Caenorhabditis elegans: one gene and its partner. The protein of the gene in region 1 interacts with the protein of each later gene in a pairwise test. Each region holds a gene or a part of one and is shown in the gene's direction. Other genes may lie near its edges.

What was found. The genes of interacting proteins can lie anywhere in the genome.
Region 2: the proteins of arp-1 (region 1) and ifas-3 interact in a two-hybrid assay, tested with the Caenorhabditis elegans proteins (one large-scale study listed by BioGRID).

What each region holds. Positions count from the first base shown.
Region 1 is NC_003280.10:15,118,323-15,123,867, forward strand, and holds arp-1 (Actin), read left to right. Parts: upstream 1-1,978; 5' UTR 1,979-1,986; coding exon 1,987-2,079; intron 2,080-2,154; coding exon 2,155-2,594; intron 2,595-3,360; coding exon 3,361-3,535; intron 3,536-3,585; coding exon 3,586-3,723; intron 3,724-4,462; coding exon 4,463-4,741; 3' UTR 4,742-5,023; downstream 5,024-5,545.
Region 2 is NC_003282.8:15,949,164-15,952,541, reverse strand, and holds ifas-3 (Ig-like domain-containing protein), read left to right. Parts: upstream 1-1,653; 5' UTR 1,654-1,680; coding exon 1,681-1,734; intron 1,735-1,782; coding exon 1,783-2,037; intron 2,038-2,084; coding exon 2,085-2,191; intron 2,192-2,618; coding exon 2,619-2,817; 3' UTR 2,818-2,850; downstream 2,851-3,378. Other genes in the region: Y105C5B.15 (Purple acid phosphatase), read right to left, coding at 1-25, 465-600.

The sequences.
Region 1 (5,545 bases):
CTAAATGCCCACCAACAAGTCTACAAAATGACCCAGTGTAGTATGCACTTCCGATATTTTTCATTAAACCCACCGCGGCAATGCAATTTCGAAGAGATCCACCACGAGTGTTCCCGTTTTCCAATAATGACTCCTTCAAAACGACGACAATTTGCATGTGGAGCGAGTGTTCTAAGGAATTCCAGGGATCTTCTGATTGCAAAAACTGTTTCCGGAGCTGAAATACATAACAAAATTATTTCAAATTCCCCTCGGTAAATATATGTATTCTTTTAAACAAGCTGAAACTCACCCTAGTCTTTCAGGACTTTCAATAAATAGAGTTCTTCGGACCACATCGACAACAGTCGGCCATTAACCAGTACGTCTGTTTTTCATTTCTCTCGCCAAAATTTTCATATGGTGCAATTGTAGTCGGAGTCTTGACAACAGATTGACAAACTTCTATGTGTCATGTAGATGTCCTCCTAAATTAAAAATTGTTAAAATGTGGCAGAAGACACATGCGCAATACCTCAAACATGTCATCACTCAATTCCGATCCAAACTACGATTATCTGATGTTTTCGTATCCATTGTCTTTATCAGAACTTCCTTTAGTCATGCGAGCTGGTACTTGTACTGGCGTGGTGGTCACTGAAAGTAAATGAAATTTCTGTCGGAATTTGTGAGAAAAAATGAAACATGTTTAACTTTGCAAAGCTACAAAAGATTATTTCGATAAACAGTTTTCAATTATGGAAAAAGAAACGAGCAGAAAATATGAAAGCAACAAGGATTTGAAAGCAGAAAACAATAAAAAAAAACTGTGCACCACAACGGTCTGCAGACAGCACTCTATTGTGAGAGACGCCGAGAGAGGGAGGAAGAGGGCCATGTTGCGCAGAGATCACAACACTGCGGGCACTGTGCCAAGTATCATTCCGGATGGGAGACGTGTGTGTGTGTGTGTAGTATAGACGACAAGATTAAAAAACAATGCAAGAGGCGTTTGTTTTTGTAGATCACACGTAGATCACAATGTATTTGTAGATAACAATAAAACAGAAATACGATTTGAGAGATAAATAAACTGTGATCTACGCAAAATTTACACAGAAACTGCTGAAAGTGATGACTACTGTATACGGTTCGAGAAACTTTCGAGAAACTTTCCCCAACAACTTTCTCCAACTTTGGACAACTTTCGGCGAAGAAATACAAGATAGGATATTCAAATGAATGAAAAATGTTTTTTGGTTTTATCAACTTACTTTTTGGTTCAGGTTTTTTTTTCTAGCAAGCCATTTTGTTTTCAAATGCTAATTTGTCTTGTATGTAGTTAATAAACTTCTATTTTCGGTGAACAAAATCTCGAAAACTTCATTTAAAACTTGAAATTCATCAATTCCCACTGCAAACTGCGTATCGGAATTCGGAGTCTCGTTTGGCCACGCCCACTTTGTTGTTTGAACTTCAATTTTGAAATTAACAGTTTAGAGCTCTAATTAGAGCTATATATTGCAAAATATTTCCAATGTTTTGGTGATTAAAAACTGTAACACATTTTAAATAAATATTTTTATGGAAAAATTTCCAAAAAAATCCATGAAAATTCCACAGCAACGGAAGTTTGAAATTACAGTACTCTTTAAAGGCGCGCGCGTAAGAGGATTGCTTTCTTTTTGCTCAGGTCCGCATCGAATCCTGTTGTAATATTTTGCCAGAAGTATAGGTGCATGTATTCTTATTATACTATTGGAAAATCAATAGTTTCCGATACTCTCGCTATGTATTTGTTCAGCCTCTGTCCTCCAAAGTACAAAACCCCCATTTCTCCGCGCAAATGATGCATTGTCCGCAAACACGGCGGCTGCAACTCTGCGTACATTTCGCAACTCTCATTTAATTTTGTTTCCACAGAAAATGCCAATTAATCCGGGGTTTTTTAATTGTTTCAAGCTCAAATTTTGGTTAAAACTGTTATTTTATCTTTCAGGTTACAAAATGGACTACGACGTCATCGCCAATCAGCCTGTGGTCATCGACAATGGCTCCGGAGTCATTAAGGCTGGTTTCGCCGGAGAACAGCAGCCAAAGGTAGGCAATAACGAATCAAAACTTGAGATTTTTGAATTTTGAATTTTAAATCATCTTTTAATTCATTTTTTACAGGTTCGCTTCGCCAACTTCGTCGGACGACCGAAATATCACAGAGTAATGGCCGGAGGGCTCGACGGAGACATTTTCATCGGACCAAAGGCCGAATCAAACCGCGGGTTGTTCTCAATCGAATACCCAATGGAACACGGAATCGTCAATAACTGGAGCGATATGGAAAAAATTTGGGAGTACATTTTCGGACAGGATCAGCTGAAAATCTTCCCAGAAGAGCATCCAGTTCTGCTCACCGACGCCCCATTGAATCCGTTGAAGAACCGCGAGCGATCTGCTGAGATCTTCTTCGAAACGTTCAATGTTCCAGCGTTATATATTCAAATGCAAGCTGTGCTATCGCTGTACGCCACCGGAAGAACGACCGGAGTCGTTTTGGATTCAGGAGACGGAGTCACACATGCTGTTCCGATTGTTAAGGGATTTGCAATGAAGCATGCGTCAGTAAACTCTGGGAAATTGCTTTAAAACACGCCTATGTGGTCACAATGACCGAATATCATGATAAAAAAATTCAAAAAAATTTTCTAGATTTTATATGATTTTTTTTTTTTGAAAGTTGCGAAAATCCCAGTTTTCCCCTAATTCCGGTTTGAATTTCCGCCATATGAATTCGTTCGCTGGAGCGCACTTGCATTTCATTTTATTTTTTCTCATTATTTCACTGGTTTTTCTTCATTCTTTGTGTATTTTTATCGGAATAAGAGAGAAAAATTCAAGATAAATTGCAAATTATTTATTTAAAAATCACTGAAAATGCGTAAAACTGTAAAATTATGAGTTCCGGCGATAGCAAACCTGAAATTAGCTTAGTTCACAGTTTCACCCATTTTCAGTGATTTTTAAATAAATAATTTGCAATTTATCTTGAATTTTTCTCTCTTTTTCCGATAAAAATACACAAAGAATGAAGAAAATCAGTGAAGTAATGAGAAAAAATGAAATAAAAATTTAAATTAATAAAAATAATGCAAGTGCGCTCCAGCGAACGAATTCAATTGGCGGAAATTCAAATAGGAATTAGGGGGGAAAACTGATATTTTTGCAATTTTCAAAAAATCATATAAAATCAGGAAAATTTTTTTGAATTTTTTAATCATGATATTCGGTCATTGTGACCACATAGGCGTGTTTTAAAGCAATTTCTCCATTGGGCGCACTCCACCTTTAAAAAAAGCATTTAATTCTAAAATTTCCTTTTTTCAGAATTCAACGAATGGATTTGGCGGGTCGCGATGTCACCGAATACCTCCGAGTCCTTCTGCGCAGAGAAGGATACGAGTTCCACAGGAGCAATGAGTTCGAAATTGTCCGAGAGATGAAGGAGAACGCGTGCTATTTGGCGTTGGATCCGACGAAAGTGGAGAATAATTCAGTGAAAGTAGTGATTTTTTTTGCAGTGAAAATGAGCTGAAAATCGCATTCTTTCAGTCATCCTACGCTCTGCCAGACACCACGAAAATCGAAATCTCCAACTCATTGTTCCGTGCGCCGGAAGTGCTCTTCAAGCCGGATTTGATCGGAACCGAGTGGCCTGGAATGGCACATGTTGTCAATCAATCAATTATGGTAGGCTCACAGCCTGCTCGGACGAAAAATCACTTTTTCAGACATTTTTGCTTAATTTTTGGTGGAATTTCGTTGGAAAATATTAATTGGCACATAATATTGCTATTTTAAGTGCACATTTTTCATCTTTTAGACTTTTTAACTTGATTTTTCGTTTTGGAAATGTTTTAGCTCTTAAAGTAGAACAAAAATCGAAATTTCTACAAGATTACCATATAAATATCAATTTTCTGTTGAATTTTACCCAAAAAATGCGAAATTTCTTTAAAACGAGCCTAGCCAAGTGATTTTATCGATTTTTATCTTATTTTCCACCGATTTTTCACGTTTTCAGTGTATTTTTACAGGAAGTTTGAAGAAAAGTCAAGAAAAATGCGAATTATCGATTAAAACTCAACATTGAAGGTTTACGCCTTCAACGCTGATTTTTAATTGATATTTCGCATTTTTCTTAACTTTTCCTTCGAATTTCCAGTAAAAAAATACTGAAAACATGAAAAATCGGTAGAAAATTAAAAAAAAAAATCGATAAAACCACTTGGCGCGAGGTTTAAATTTTTTAAAGCTATTTTTCAATTTTTAAAAATCATATAAAATTTAGAATTTTTTTTTCTATGATATTTAGCCACTGTGATATCAGAGGAATTTTTTTAAATAAATTTTCAGTTAAATTTTAGCCAAAAAATGCGGAATTTCTAAAAAAAAAAAACACCCATCAGCTCAAACTAAATATTTCCAGAAATGTGACGTGGATCTTCGACAAACTCTGTACAGCAACATCGTGCTGAGCGGTGGAACGACGTTGTTCAAAGGATTCGGCGATCGTTTGCTGGGAGAAATGCGAAAAATCGCGCCCGCTGACGGAAAAATTCGAATTTCCGCGTCGCAGGAACGAAATTCGCTCACATGGATCGGCGGTTCGATTGTCGCCAGTTTGGACACTTTCCGAAAAATGTGGCTCGGAAAGAAGGAGTACGAAGATATGGGAGCGTCGGCGATGCACAAGAGATTCTTCTAAATATTGAATTTTTTCCCTTTTTTGCTCACTTTTCATCGTAATTTATTTGTTTTTTTTGCATATTTTCCCCCTTTTTCTCCCTAATTTGTTCCATTTGGCGCTGGCTCAAAAATTCTTCAAAATTTTCTCAAAAATAGGCGACCTTCTTCAAAAAATGTTATATAGCCCGATTCTCTGGACATAATTATTCAATTTACCCCCTCCTCCCCCAGTTCCGTGTCCCACTATCTGCTTTATGCCTGTTTCAATTATTATTTTTTATATCTAAACGATTCGATTTTTATGGAATTCTTCAATGCAATTTATTACAGGTTCCCGGCAGCTCAATGGAGCCGCTGCGTCAGGCGGAAACTGTGCAATTTTAAGACATGAGGAAAATATTTTTAAAAAAAACTTTACGGAAATTTTCCGAATTGCCGATTTGCCGGAAATTTCAATTCCGGAAAATTTGCCGGAAATTTGCCGATTTGCCGGAAGTTTCAGTTCCGCAAATTTGCCGGAAATTTTCAATTCTGGAAATTTGTCGATTTGCCGAAAATTTCAATTCTGGAAGTTTGCCGATTTGCCGGAAATTTCAATTCTGCAAATTTGCCGATTTGCCGGAAAATTTCAATTCTGCAAATTTGCCGATTTGCCGGAAATTTCAATTCTGCAAATTTGCCGATTTGCCGGAAAATTTCAATTCCGGAAATTCGCCGATTTGCCGGAAAGTTCAATTCTGGAAGTTTGCCGATTTGCCGGAAATTTCAATTCTGCCAATTTGCCGGTAATTTCAATTCTGGAATTTTGCCAATTTGCCGATTT
Region 2 (3,378 bases), on another chromosome or scaffold:
ATCACATATGGCGTCACATTTGGTACTGAAAATTCCAGAATATTTGTGGAATTCATTGTGGAATTGAAATGTAGAAAACGGGAAAGTTTTTGAGAACTAGATGAAGCAGTGTAAAAATTTTAATTATAATATTCTGTTTATTTAAGGAAATTTTTTTTTAATAACACGCCTATAATGGCATTTTACATTGAAAAAAAAAAACTGAAACAGTAAAAAATTTGAAAATTGTTTTAAAAAAGTTGGTTTTCTTCAAATGTGGCAAAATAATACAACAAATAATATGTGAATTATTCAGAGGAAAAAACGTCATTAACAAATTTTGAAAAACATACACACTTAAAATAGAGTTTTCGAAACAGTAAAAAAATTTTCATAATTTAGAAAAAAAATTTGTAGAAAATTTCACTGGATGCTTAGAAACCCATTATTGAAAAATCAATATGAAAAAACAAAAAAAAACCCACGAGGTCCCTGCGTTAGCCACGTCACAACCATTTCATCCATTTTCCCGCTCAAACTGAGATGAACCTGCTCCACCCGATTCGCTGTCACATTTTCAGAGAAAATCAATAAAACCAACGAAACTAGCAGTTTTCTCATCGTTTTTCTGGGAAAATGATGAGTTTTCCATCTGAAATTCTTTGGTTTTATAGTTTTTAATCTGTTCCGATTCGCGTCGTTTCCGATGTCATTCTTCTTGAGTTATGACTGATTAGCAATAAAAAAATGATAAGAACTGTAGATTTGATGATAATTCGTTTGATTGATGGGGAAAAATGGGGAAAGTTAATTTTTTGCAAAAAAAAATGCAAATCAAATAATAAGATTTGCATCACTAGAAACATTAAAAAATAAAGGTGAAACAGAAGATTTTGTCTTAAAAATTTCAAATTTCTTGCAATTTTTTTGTAAAAAAACTCAAATTTTTCACATAATCATTTGTAGGAATTTACACTCAAAAAAAAAACTGCGTGGGCGTGTACTGCAGAAAACGTAATATTTAGGCCCCGCCTTTTTCTCGTCCACTAACGGAGAAAATGCAAAAATTTTGACCCCAACCAATATTAGGCCGCCGACATATCACGGGTTCCGCGCGCCGCTATGTTTGACTCGCAGCAGGCGGAGACAGCTCGCCACGCCCACAGCGAGCTAAACGCAGCGACGCGCGGAACCCGTGAGATGTCGGCGACCTGAAATTGGTTGGGGTCAAAATTTTTGCCTTTTCTCCGTGAGTGGACGAGAAAAAGGCGGGACCTAAATATTAGGTTTTCTGCAGTACACGCCCACGCAGTTTTTTTTTATTTTGAGTGTAGTCTGATCTATTTGCGTTTGACCAAAAAAACATTTCTAAGTGGAAAAAGCTGAACAGTAAACAGCCACTTAAGTTTGTACTTACTAACATAAGATGAAACAGTCATATTATTTTCCATTGTTTACCTTTTCTTGCTCATTATTTCTTTTAAACAAGCACAGAGTTTTTGCACAATATAATTTCTCTGCTTCTAATTTCTCTAATTTTTTAACTGTAACTATTAACTGCTTAGAAGACAACCATGAAAAAAAAAAAATTTTTCTGTAACAGGAATTTTTTTGAGAAAAAAAAATCATTTTCCAGATTTGACTGGAAATAAAACTGTTAACGTTCCCCATGTTTTTCAGATTGAATATTTTCATTTGGGAATGCAAGAAGAAAGTTATTACAATTTAACAGTTGGCGATACACATGATCGACTGGTAGGCTCTTTTTTTAAATAATTAAATTGTTATAAAAAATATTTTCAGCACAACTTTCAAATAACCGTCGACACTGACTATCGGAACTTTGTTCAACTAGTCAACACGATGAGATCACCTAACATTGCACAACAAGACCGGGCTTTTCTACAATTACAACAGCTAGGATTACAGCACCCGGACTACATTCGAAAAGCCCGAGTCCCAGAAACCATGCGGCAGTTCGCAGAAGGTGCCGCCGGAAAACGGAGGATACGTTCGTGTCATGGAACATATCTTCATTGGTATGACGAAGGATTGAAGGTTTCAAAAAAGTAAAAAAAAACTGTGCTGATAGAGAATAATTCTAGGTTGACATGAAGTCGGGCGAAGCGGGGACATGTGAAAATTGGATTATTGAGGACTGGAACGAGAAAGTGGTTTTCAGGGCAGTTGATCCACGGGGCAAATATCTAAGGTACGTGTAGGCTCTGTAAAGACATGTGGTGTCAGAGTGTCCCATTTCGGTTAAATATATGAAACTTGCGAGAAATTTAAAACTGTTGCGTGTACACTTATATAGGCCCACGGAGAAAAGGCAAAAATTGGCGCCCCAATCAATATCAGGCCGCCGACATTTGACGGGTTCCGCGCGCCACTACGTTCAGCGGGCTTGGCGAGCTGTCCCGCCCTCTGCGAGGAAAATATAGTGGAGCGCGGAACTCGTAAGATGTCGGCGGCCTGATATTGGTTGTGGTGCCAATTTTTGCCTTGCGACTATACAGTACTACAGAAGCGACTATACAGTACTACAGTACAGTACTTAAACTTCCAACGTATAGAATTTGAAAATTGAAAAGAAAAAACTTTCTAGCATCTAGAAGTGAGCCTAAAAAACATTGCAGAGCTTGCCTGGGGAGCAACCAGCTGACTCTAGTATACATTCCTGAGCCAACGGAACTGTGGAGCCCATTCGAAAATGGCAACGGGACCTGGTCGTTTCTCAGTTCTAACGGAACATGGCTCAGTGCTCACGAAGATGGGCAAGTGTGCACTGTGAAGGACCGTCAAGCGTGTGAAGAATTTTTGTTAGAGTCGTGGTAACTTATTTTTTGTTAATAAAATAAATATTTGATTTTGATACTATTGCACTGCAAGGAACGACTCGAAACCGGGCAGATGTCTGGCCATGTATTAGTGTACAGATGATTCTAGACACTTTTGCAAAAAGTTCAGAAATCGAAATCACAAACTGATAAAATCATAATTAGGTGCAAGCATGTGTGGGTGTATCATTTGCTGATTTTGCCAGAAGAGTGACCATTGATAATAACCTTGAATTTGTGTTATAGGCGAAACAGTGAAAGTTTAAAACTGTCCAAAAATTTATTGAATTACTGTTTCAGATAGTCTACTTTTAAAAACTTGTTTTTTATTATTTAATTATGATCTGACAACTCGTTTTCCAATTTCTAAAAAGTTTTTGTAGGAGTTAATTGAGGTTTAAATTTTAAAATGTTTAATTTATGAAACTGTTGGGAACTGGAAAATTGAAAAAAAAAACTATGTAATTCGTTGCGTTCATCCTTACAATATCTTTGACCAATTGTAGTTATGAAATTATGTTAATTTATGTAAACATTATGAAACATTATCGGTTAGTGG